2 linked regions of the Coturnix japonica genome follow. The protein of the gene in region 1 interacts with the protein of each later gene in a biochemical or structural test. Links are inferred from orthologs where the notes say so. Each region holds a gene or a part of one and is shown in the gene's direction. Other genes may lie near its edges.

Region 1 (5,265 bases):
GTGTTTTCTATTAATCGGTAATTGCAGTTCAAATATCTGCTAAACTTCAACGGACAATTCCATCTATTTATCTCACGTGTAAATGCTACTTGTTTTTCTGAATAATATTGTCACTTTTATCATTTAGTATCTGATCCACTATTTCTGTACTATATATATTTATATATATAATCATTATTCTTTTCTCTTCATAGAACCAAAATTGCAATTTCAACCACCATATCAAGTACAGCCCAAAGTTATGAATACAGAACAGAATGGCATCAAAGAGAATCATTCAAGGCATATTTCTCGCAATGACATGAGACAACCAAGGAATGAGAAGCCCCCTCGTTTTCAAAGAGATATTCAGAATTCAAGGCAGGCTTTGGAAAGTGGGGGATTACCAAGAAACAGAGGTCCTGAAAGGCACAACTCTTCAGAACATTGGACAGATGAGAAAATCAAAAGTGACAGACATTATCCTAGAAATGATAGGCCAAAGGATTTGGGTTATCCCGTAGCTGCTCACCAGAGTGATATTTCCTTTAAAAAAAGGGATAACAATATGCAAAACAGAATAGGAAAAGGGGTGTCTTTCACAGAATTCAAGGAGAACTCTGCTGCTCAAGATACTACAGACAACAATAACCAGAGACGTGGGAAAAGGGAAAATCAAATACACAATTCTGAAAACTTTTGTGATAGGAAAGCACGAACAATAAGTAATGAAACCTTTATGGTAAAAAGTGAGCAACATTTTGGTGTGAATAATGATTACCAAAACACTTGCAGAACTGATAATTTTAATTCTATTCCGAATGGAGATACAGAACATCATCAGAAAGGAAGACGAGTAGGGCCTATCAAATCGCCAGGACCTAATGTGATTCCGTCTTATGATGACAAAATTTTGTATTACAACACTGGACCCAAAAGGAGATCTGGGCCCATCAAACCAGAGAAAATAATGGAACCATCGATTCATGCAGAGTACGGAAAAACCTGGAGACCTGGGGATGAGTGTTTTGCTCTTTATTGGGAAGACAACAAGGTATGTGTTTGCCAGACGTTGAGTAGTTCAAATTAGCTTTCTTATATACTTGATGTAGACTTAGCACACCAGCACAAAGACAAAGGTCTTTGTTCATAGGTGTATACTGTGCTTTGTGGCCTGCTTCTTGTTCTAATGTTTTTTTGTTTTTTCTTTGCATGTTTGTTGTTGTTTGTTTTAAAAGGAGATATGTAGATTGTATTAATTTCTTGAAAGTATGTGACCCAGATCATCTTGACAGTGTCTGTTTCCCTCATATGGGATAGCTAGGCTCCTAACTGAGACATATTTCATGTAGGTGTTTAAAATTTGAAGGAATTAAATGGGTCTGGTTGCCTTTGTTACTTTCTAAAGAATAAGACTGGGATGCTCTGTTATCCCGAGTAGTTTGTAACTACAGATATGTAATGACTTCCACTAGAATAAGACATCATGCAGCCTTCACTAGTACAGGAGAAGACTGGAGTGTCTGCAGGGATGGGACTGTTTAAAACAAATTCCACTCTTATTTCAGTCATTACAAAAAGACTGGATTTTATTATCAATAGTAGTCTCCTAGCTGAAGGAGCTGTGGAACAAATGGAGTGTGATGCATGACAGTTCTGTTTTACTGATTTTTCAAAGCTTAAATTGTTCCTCTTCCAATTAATAAGATTTCTTTTATGACAAGAGATGTAGATACTGTTAGCTCAGCAGTGTCACTTTTTTATTTGACTGAAATAAGTCATGCAAAATTTTTGATGGCAGTAGCATATAGTTAGTTGGTGCTTTAATATGAATATATATCTCGGAAGGATTTGTTTGAAATATAATAGCATATTAAGGAATTATTTCCTGTCTTCAGAAGCGCTTTATGTCACTATGAGATGTGTTGTTGAAATTCTGAAAAGCATGAAACTTGCAAAATAAGCAGATACGACACTGCTGCCTGAGAAGTATCCAGTGTGTTTTGATGATGGTTGTTTTTTTAGCAGTTACAACAAATGCTGCTGCTTGCATCTAGCATAATTTTAAAATAGAATGATAAAATACAGCAATGAGTTTTAATCTTGCTGTATGATAATGACTTCTATGTGTTCAGAAAGAAAAATAGATTCAAAAGCAGTTGATTTCTTTGCATAAATTACTAAAAGAAAGTGATGAAAAAAGGAAGAATTTTAGAAGGATCTTATTTTAGTACGTGCTTAAATAGTTATGTGTTATTATATACTTAAAATAGTTGTATGTGTGCAAGTGCCTGCCAGGCACTTAAACAGTAATAATAATTAAAAAGAAAGTCTTGCATTAGTATTTCTTATATACAACATCATTGGTGTTGATGATTAATTTGTCTTTGAAAAAAGATCTTTTAAATGTTCAACCTAATGTCCTAAGTAGTATATATTTTCAGTGAGTATTTTAAATACATGCAGCCACAATCTTTCAGTCATGGGACATGTAAAAGTTTAATAGATAATTATCTGCAACAAATTTTACTGAAAATTTACTGACCAAGACCAAGAATGGGGAGGAGAGTGAAAATGAAGAGGTTGTTTTCAAGCTGTTTGTGGCACATCAGGTAGTATTTTATGACCTTTGAAAATTTCTCTTTTAAGTTCTACCGGGCAGAAGTTGAAGCTCTCCATTCTTCTGGAATGACTGCAGTTGTTAAATTCTGTGACTATGGAAATTATGAAGAGGTGCTTCTCAGCAACATCAGGCCTATTCATGCAGACACCTGGGTATGTGATAACAAATTGAATACAAACATATAAATTACATAGTCTGTAACAAAATACATAACTTGGCAAATGAATGCCTACTCCTGCAAAGAGTGATAATTGCACGTGTAGAAAAATAGTTAAGAAGTGAATACACAAGCAAAATCTTTTAGTTATCTATATGAATCTACTTAATGTTCCTAAGTATATTATCATGTAGTGTTCTTTATATATAAGAAATTTAAATTGTATTGCTGTAAAATGAATACTTTAATTGACCTGTCAGCTAAATGGTTTTATGCATACATTATTTATAAAAGTTTCATTTACTGTATTAAACATAGATTATTATTGTTTTATTTTGTATACGTTGTATTTTTTTCTGTAAAGGTTAGTAAACAGTCTTTATATATCCTGAGGACTTATACTGTGTGTGAATGTATGGCTAAACAAATACATCTGTGTGAATCATTTTATTTTGCATCATGATTTTATTTTCTAAAGCTAATTCTTTGGTGAATATTAAGGGAGAGGTTTATGCCTGGAAGTCTGCTTTACAACATTTAGAATGTATTAGCCTTATAGTAACTGTATATTAATTTCAAGGGGCTTTATTTTTGAATGTCATGGAAGTAGAAGTACAAAAAGTACAAGAAGTTCAAAAACATAAACAAAAGAAATAGGATTGCAGTCCCTTGCTGTTTACTCATGATAGAAAGATGCACAAAAAAGTATATGAATCTGTGCTTTGATTCCTTAATGACAAGCTGAAAGTGCTTCTTTTCATTTCTTACCTCTTGGCCATTTAGTCGTGTCAGTACTGCTGCAGAGGCTGTTAATAGTCAACTTCTGTTTTCTGCCAGTGGTCATTTAATTTATGTTGTTGCTTGTAAGTCTCAGATGTTCTTATGGCCTCTGAGATGGCCTTTTTGTACTTAGAAAGGTCTCTGAAGCACTTCTGAGCTGAAGCATTGCAGTCTAAGGAAATTAACTTTTTTTTTTTTTTTTTTTTCTTTTTATCCCACTTGTTGAGGTGCAGTGATAAACCGCTTTTTACTGTATGATTGTGCTTATTTTGATCTTATTTCTAGGTTGTTAAACCTAGAAATGGTTTTATGATTCTTGGTTACTGATATTCCACATCATAACATCAGGTAGTGCACTGGGAGTCAAGCATTTCAGTTTCTGCCCATTGCCTCTTGAACTGGAACTAGGCATCACTGAAAAGAGCCTGGCTCTGTCCTTATTGCACCCTACCTTCAAGAGCCTGTGTATATATATGCTGATTAGCTTTCCCCCAAGACTCTTGTTACTGAGGCTGAACAGGCCCAGCAGTCTCAGCTTCTCCTTGCAGGAGAGGTGCTCTTGTCCCATCATCATCTTCATGGTCCTGAGCTGCTGGAGTCTCTCTTGTACTGAGGAGCCCAGAACTGTTTGCAGTGATCCAGGTGTGGCCTTGCCAGTGCTAAATAAAGGGGAAAGATAACTTTCTTGCTGCTGGTAATACCTTGCTTAATGCAGCACAGGTCACTGCTAGACTTTTTTCATCATTTCTGATGATAATCTCAAGTATTGACATTTATTTTACTTTAACTCTCTGAAAATTCTCTCTCTTGCTTTGAGAACTTGAGCTGGTGTAATTTTCTCTTCCTGAAACTTGTGTTTCTGCTTATAGATAAAAAGGCAAGATGAATTATATATAATATTTTTAATAATTTATTTGTTTAAATTATTATTTATATAAAAATATTTTATATGTATGTAAGTAAAAGTGAAAGTATGTATAATTCCAGTTCTTCTGCAGCCTGTTATGTTGTGTGGTGGCGTTGCAACTCACCTGTTTTGGACCCTCCAACAGGGAAAGCATTGAGGAAACAAAAGAGCAGGGGGTCTTGATCTGTAGCTCATTTATTTTGGCAGACATTTTATCTTACTTTTTATGGTGATACCTTAAATTTCATAATGTTGTTTATTATAGCTCACAGAGCTATAAGAGTTTCTAAAGGTATTGAATTCTCTTAAATCAAACTGTAATTTAGGACCTTCTCATAACCATCCCTCATTTCGGGTAAGTGAAGATGTAAAGCTTTATGAGCTTATGAAGGTGTTGGAAGCCTTCATCTAGCCATGCTGAAAATAATAAATGGTTAAGGGTTACAGCTACATGCTTAAGATAGAGAAGACTTATGCTGTTATGTGGAATATTTGAATCCATTCTAGTATCTTGATTAATATCAGTTAAATATTTACTTTAAGGTGCTGTTTGCTGTGTCTCTGAGTTCTGAACAGTCTTAGCATCACAGTTTTTTTCTTTCTTTCTTTTTCTTTTTTTTTTTTTTTTTAATGAGTTTTGTGTCAAGCAGTAAGTTTTTCTGTGTAAGTAATTAAGTAGGTGCAGTAGGTAAACATCACACTTGGATCTCTTATCTAGCTTCTCTCCTCATTGACTACAGTGAAAATGAGGATGTTAAAAGAGAATTGTACCAGCTAATTCTAACATTACTGTGGAAAAATTGTCCATAATAGCAGCAG
Region 2 (5,265 bases), on another chromosome or scaffold:
TTTTGCACCAAATAAATTGTGTCAGTCTTTAGAGCTTTAAAACAGAAACAAAAACTATACAGTTATTGAAGAGATTCTTTTTTGAGTAGCTGATGACTCTGCTAATTTCTCCTACAGGTGGAGGGAAGAGGCTGCGATTGCATTGTCTTGTGGTTGGATTGTGATAAGGAGGGAGAAAACATCTGTTTTGAAGTAAGATTTCTAATACCATATTTCATTCTCTCTTGTTTAAAGAAGCACATTTTAGCAAGTGTTTAAGTTCTTTAAATACCACCACTTCATAACTGTGCCCTGGCAACCTAGGTAGAAACTGATACATATTCATCAGATATTCACAGTGTTACTGTGTAGCAGTGTTACACATCAGCAGATGTTTTGTGGGGAGGGTTTGGTTTGTTTTTTTTCCCTCCAGAGGAAAGAACTGACTTAAGCCCTCAGCTTTCAGTTACTTACAAAATCCTCTTCTGATCCTCCTTAGGTTCTTGATGCTGTTCTTCCTGTTATGAACAAACTTCCTAGCACCGAAAGGACGATTTATAGAGCTAAATTCAGTTCTATTACTGACACAGACATCTGCAATGCCATGAATCATTTGGGAGAACCCAATCGCAATGAAGCCCTTTCAGTGGATGCCCGCCAGGAGCTGGATCTCAGAATTGGCTGCGCGTTTACAAGGTAACAGCACAGATTGCAGATGGTTTTATGAAAGGTTCAGGAATACTGCCCTGTCCATAGAATGTGCCTTAGAGCTGCAGTGGTTAATTCTACTGAGTTACCAAAGCAAACAATTTTATACTGTGAAGTTTTTGGTTTTTTTAAATATACATGAGTGACTTGGCAGATTATTCATACGTATCTGGGAAAGTTCCTGAAAGTTGCTGCTTTGCATGGGAATGAGGATATTCATCTACTTGATGCTTTATTTGATCTTTTCCTTAAGGTTTCAGACTAAGTATTTTCAGGGGAAATACGGAAACTTAGACAGCTCCCTCATCTCCTTTGGGCCATGTCAAACACCAACACTTGGTTTCTGTGTTGAAAGGCACGACAAAATCCAGTCATTCAAGCCTGAGACTTACTGGGTGCTGCAGGCTAAAGTAAGTTATGTGTTATTTGTTTGATTAAAACATGTTTTCCTTCTTATATAGTAAGAAACGGACTTAACACTTTCATTTTGTCCATTCATGAATTTGTAGCTGCTGACAAGAATTCACAGTGCCTACAGTTTACTCGTCTATTTTCATTCAGTTCACATGTGTGTCACCACTCTCTTAATAGATTTGAGGATGTCGGTTCTGTGTTCAAGCGGTTATTGTGTGCTGCTTGTAAAAATTCTTTAGTGGTAACCATCTAAGCTTAGACTGAGCCAGAAAGACTACTTAAAATGGCCTGTTATTGTTCCCTGGGGTCCTTGGACCAACTGTGGTGTTAATTTGAATCCAAGAATTAATTTGTCTGCCAGTGAGCATTGGCATTGCTGAGTATTGGAATTCTGAAGCAAATAAAATGTTCACTGTGTTGGCACTGAGTCTTCTGAATGCTTTGGCAGTTTATGGCAGTTTTATAGCCTTGCTGCTGTTCCAACTTGGAGCGCTAACCAACATGGTTTTACTGTTTGTGATGACAAGGATTGTGTAAATAAATAGGAGATAGATGGTAAAAAGTTGCTATTTTTAGATTTTAAAATTTAAAAAGAAAAAAAAGTTGAAATCCAGTGTCTACTCTTATCTGTTTTCTGCTATATCTCCTTTATATGTGTCATGCTAGGAAGCATTTGGTTCCTGTTTTCAGGGTGTTTCATGCACACACATTGATTAGTTCATATTTACTTTTGTAGGAGGGACTTGGATTGTGGCCCACGTACATTTTATTTTTAATGCAAAGAATTAATGAATTTTGCTAAGTGAAAATGTTAAACTTTGAATTTCGGCCCATTTTGCCTTTGTTATTCCAAGTATTTAAAATAAGCACAGTATTTCAGTTAACTGCAAGAATAATTTCAGTCATTCTCCTTGCCCCAGAACTCAAATTACTCTTTCTCAGAAGCCACTGGAAAATGAGTACAGCTGCATGCTTGGAGCACTTGTAAAACAACTACTACTAAGGTTTACTTGCTGGATTATTGCTGAAGTGCATTCTGCACTTTTAGTAATAGTGCTGGTGGGAATTAATTTGTTGTTGTTTGTTTTTGATCCATCAGGTGAACCCTGAAAAGGAAAGTTCTCTCACTTTGAGTTGGGACAGAGTGCGGGTATTTGATCGTGAGATCGCTCAGATGTTCCTAAATATAACAAAGGCTGCAAAAGAAGCAAAGGTAGAACTATTTACTTAGGTGTTGGTAGAGCTTATTTCACATAAAGGAAATACTACTCAATAGTTCATCTACTGTATATTGGTTTTTTTGAGCCTTCTTTTGGCGAAGAAGGTTAAGAAATATAATCCTTATCTTTTTTTATTTCATTCAACTTTGTGTAAATGATAAGTAAAAGGCAAAAGATTCTTGCTTGTAGTTTGTGTTACATTAGTATGGTCATCTCAACAGAAGCCCATTCTTAATATTGACTTTGGAAATGGTCATCATTCACGATAGGAATTAACAGTCTTCATTGCTGAACTTGCTGAGAAGCACAGTTCAGAACTCCCCAAGCAGACCTCTTGTTTCCCACAGGACACTGCATAGATCGAAATCTATTTACTTATAGAACAACATTCCTGCAGTTAAGTTTTTAACTTTGTACGGTACAGTCCTTATAGCCAACTAACCTGCTGTTCTGTTCAATGCTTGTCTGACACTGTGTTGGGATTTAAGTGTTTACAGCTACCAACGTTCAGAGGCTACACGGTGTTTTAAAAAGTTGAGATCCTTATATCTAGGACCGTTACTTGGGTTGAGCACTACTCCCTTGTAGCACTGATGTATGTGCTGCAGAGCTAAATGGGAAGTGAAGGTAGCAGTAAGCTACATCCCTTCATGTCCAGTGGTAGGTCTGATCTAGTCCATAATGTGAAGGGACCCTGGGGCTATTCCTTCAGCATTTGGTAAAGCTGTTTCCCATCAGATTTCCACCAGATCTGACGGTTACTTTTCTACGGAAAAATATCAAAACACAGATGTGACGAAAGCAGGTCCTGGTAGGAATACCACATGGTTTTAGTCATAATAGACATTTTACATTTATCAGTTACCAAACTTCAAAACTTTTACTGGAAAAATGCTATTTTCTAGGTAGAATCTGTGAGTAAAAAAGAGAAGGTGAAGCAGAGACCACTGGCTCTGAACACGGTAGAAATGCTACGAGTGGCCAGTGCTGCTTTAGGTACGTGTAAAAGTTTAGATTTTCACACTGATTTAGAGCAAAATACTTTGGATTCTCAGCTGAAATAATCAAGCCCATATGTAATATTTTAATAAGTCTCCCTACAGTGTATCACTTTTGGGAAGCAAGTTTAGAAAGCATGTCAAAAGTACTGGGTCAGATCAAGGTGGCAAAAGTCTTATAGAAAGGACAAGTTGTAATTTGTAATTAGCTTAAATGTTTTGACAAGGTGTGCTTTAAGACTCAGCAACCAAAGGCATCTACAGATTGCTGTATGATTTTGTTCTCTCCTGTGCCATCCCAGGAATGGGTCCGCAACACGCCATGCAAATAGCAGAGCGTCTTTATACACAGGGTTATATTAGCTACCCTCGAACAGAAACTACCCATTATCCAGAAAACTTTGACTTGAAAGGATGCTTGAGACAACAAGCTAATAATCCTTACTGGGCAGAAACGGTGAGTAAATCAAAACCTGTACTGTTCTACAGGTGGTTCTCTAGTCTGTGTTTTTAGAACATCTTACCTGGTATGTCTTGATCTGTAGGTCTCTGCAAACAACAAGTATCTGTAATTGCTTTTACTTACAGATATTGTAGTTATGGATTTGATCTTAAAAAAAAAAACAACTTCTAACCTGATAGTAGAGACCTGCTATCCACTTCAACCCGTTTTCTCTCTTTTCCTTGACCCAGGTAAAAGCATTGCTATCAGAAGGCATCAATCGTCCAAGGAAAGGCCACGATGCAGGTGACCATCCACCCATCACTCCAATGAAAGCTGCAACAGAAGCAGAATTAGGTACAGACAAACTGAATAGTGTTAGAACACTGTGAGGAAATTGGTTCTCTGATAAAGAAGCATGTTAAGACTTTGAGTAGCCATACAGCTTACTGAATGGCTATGTAAAACTTCTTTGTACACAATAGGATGAAATATGCAAAGCACAAGACTGATACTTAGGAGCTAAGTTTCTGTTTATAGTATTATAACCTCTCTGCTATTTGATTTCCTAGCTATATGTTGTGATTAAGGAAACTGTGTGTAGCTCTTGTCTGTTCTGTGCTAGTTTGTCAGGCAGCCCGATTGATAGCATATTTAAAAAGAAAAAGTTGAAGTTAATGTAGCACAGGATTCTAACAAGTATGATTTTATGGGTAGGAAATTTTGAAGGGGAAGCTGGATGGACTTTTCAATCCTATTTTCTCTTAGGTACCAGTTTTCCCTGTGGTTTCTGTGGAAATCTGATATCTTTTAGCGCAAATTTTATGTAGTGCTGCAGGACTTGATTTGTGGGAGTAAGATATTGTTTATCCTCAGGTGGAGATGGATGGCGGCTGTATGAGTACATCACTAGGCATTTCATTGCCACTGTGAGCGCTGATTGCAAGTACCTACAAACCAACATTTCTGTCAGCATTGGCCCTGAACGTTTTAACTGCGTTGGGAAAGTGGTAACTTCACCAGGTAAAACTAACCAGGGAGTAAGTAGTTAGGCACCGTTTATTATTTTACCCACTCATGCATTAAATAGATATAAAAGTGAAGTTTTGGAGGCAAGTAGAATTTAAGACTTCTTTTTTCCTGGAGCTTATTAAGATGACAAGGACTGAATCTTGGTCTTCGCTTCCTTATTTACGTTATGCTGGAAAAGGATGTACTTCCCATGTAGTGGTCTCAAAGCTTTAATGCCACACTGACCGGTGGAAAGACCAGTCTTTTTTCAGACTGCAGATCCTGTTGTGGTTTATGTTGCACAAAGGCTGATGGTTTTTTCTTATATTTTTCCCTTGAGCCTCAGGAAAAGGACTATAGTACCCTCAGTGAAATGTTCACAGCGGGCTGTCCCAGTCATCTGCTACATTAATACAACTTAGTATTTGCACTTTCTTTTTAAGAGACTCTTCCCATCCACTTGGTAAGACTTCTGGCACTGTGCTTTTGTTTG

The links.
Region 2: the proteins of TDRD3 (region 1) and TOP3B form a complex in vitro, tested with the Homo sapiens proteins (2 studies listed by BioGRID and IntAct, with this or other methods). The link is inferred for Coturnix japonica from reciprocal best matches to the Homo sapiens genes TDRD3 and TOP3B.

What each region holds. Positions count from the first base shown.
Region 1 is NC_029516.1:145,150,445-145,155,709, reverse strand, and holds part of TDRD3 (tudor domain-containing protein 3), read left to right. Parts: intron 1-194; coding exon 195-1,033; intron 1,034-2,628; coding exon 2,629-2,754; intron 2,755-5,265. UniProt on the Homo sapiens protein: Scaffolding protein that specifically recognizes and binds dimethylarginine-containing proteins. Plays a role in the regulation of translation of target mRNAs by binding Arg/Gly-rich motifs (GAR) in dimethylarginine-containing proteins.
Region 2 is NC_029530.1:347,739-353,003, forward strand, and holds part of TOP3B (DNA topoisomerase 3-beta-1), read left to right. Parts: intron 1-117; coding exon 118-192; intron 193-478; coding exon 479-675; intron 676-940; coding exon 941-1,097; intron 1,098-2,200; coding exon 2,201-2,314; intron 2,315-3,226; coding exon 3,227-3,317; intron 3,318-3,621; coding exon 3,622-3,776; intron 3,777-4,012; coding exon 4,013-4,118; intron 4,119-4,637; coding exon 4,638-4,784; intron 4,785-5,265. UniProt on the Homo sapiens protein: Releases the supercoiling and torsional tension of DNA introduced during the DNA replication and transcription by transiently cleaving and rejoining one strand of the DNA duplex.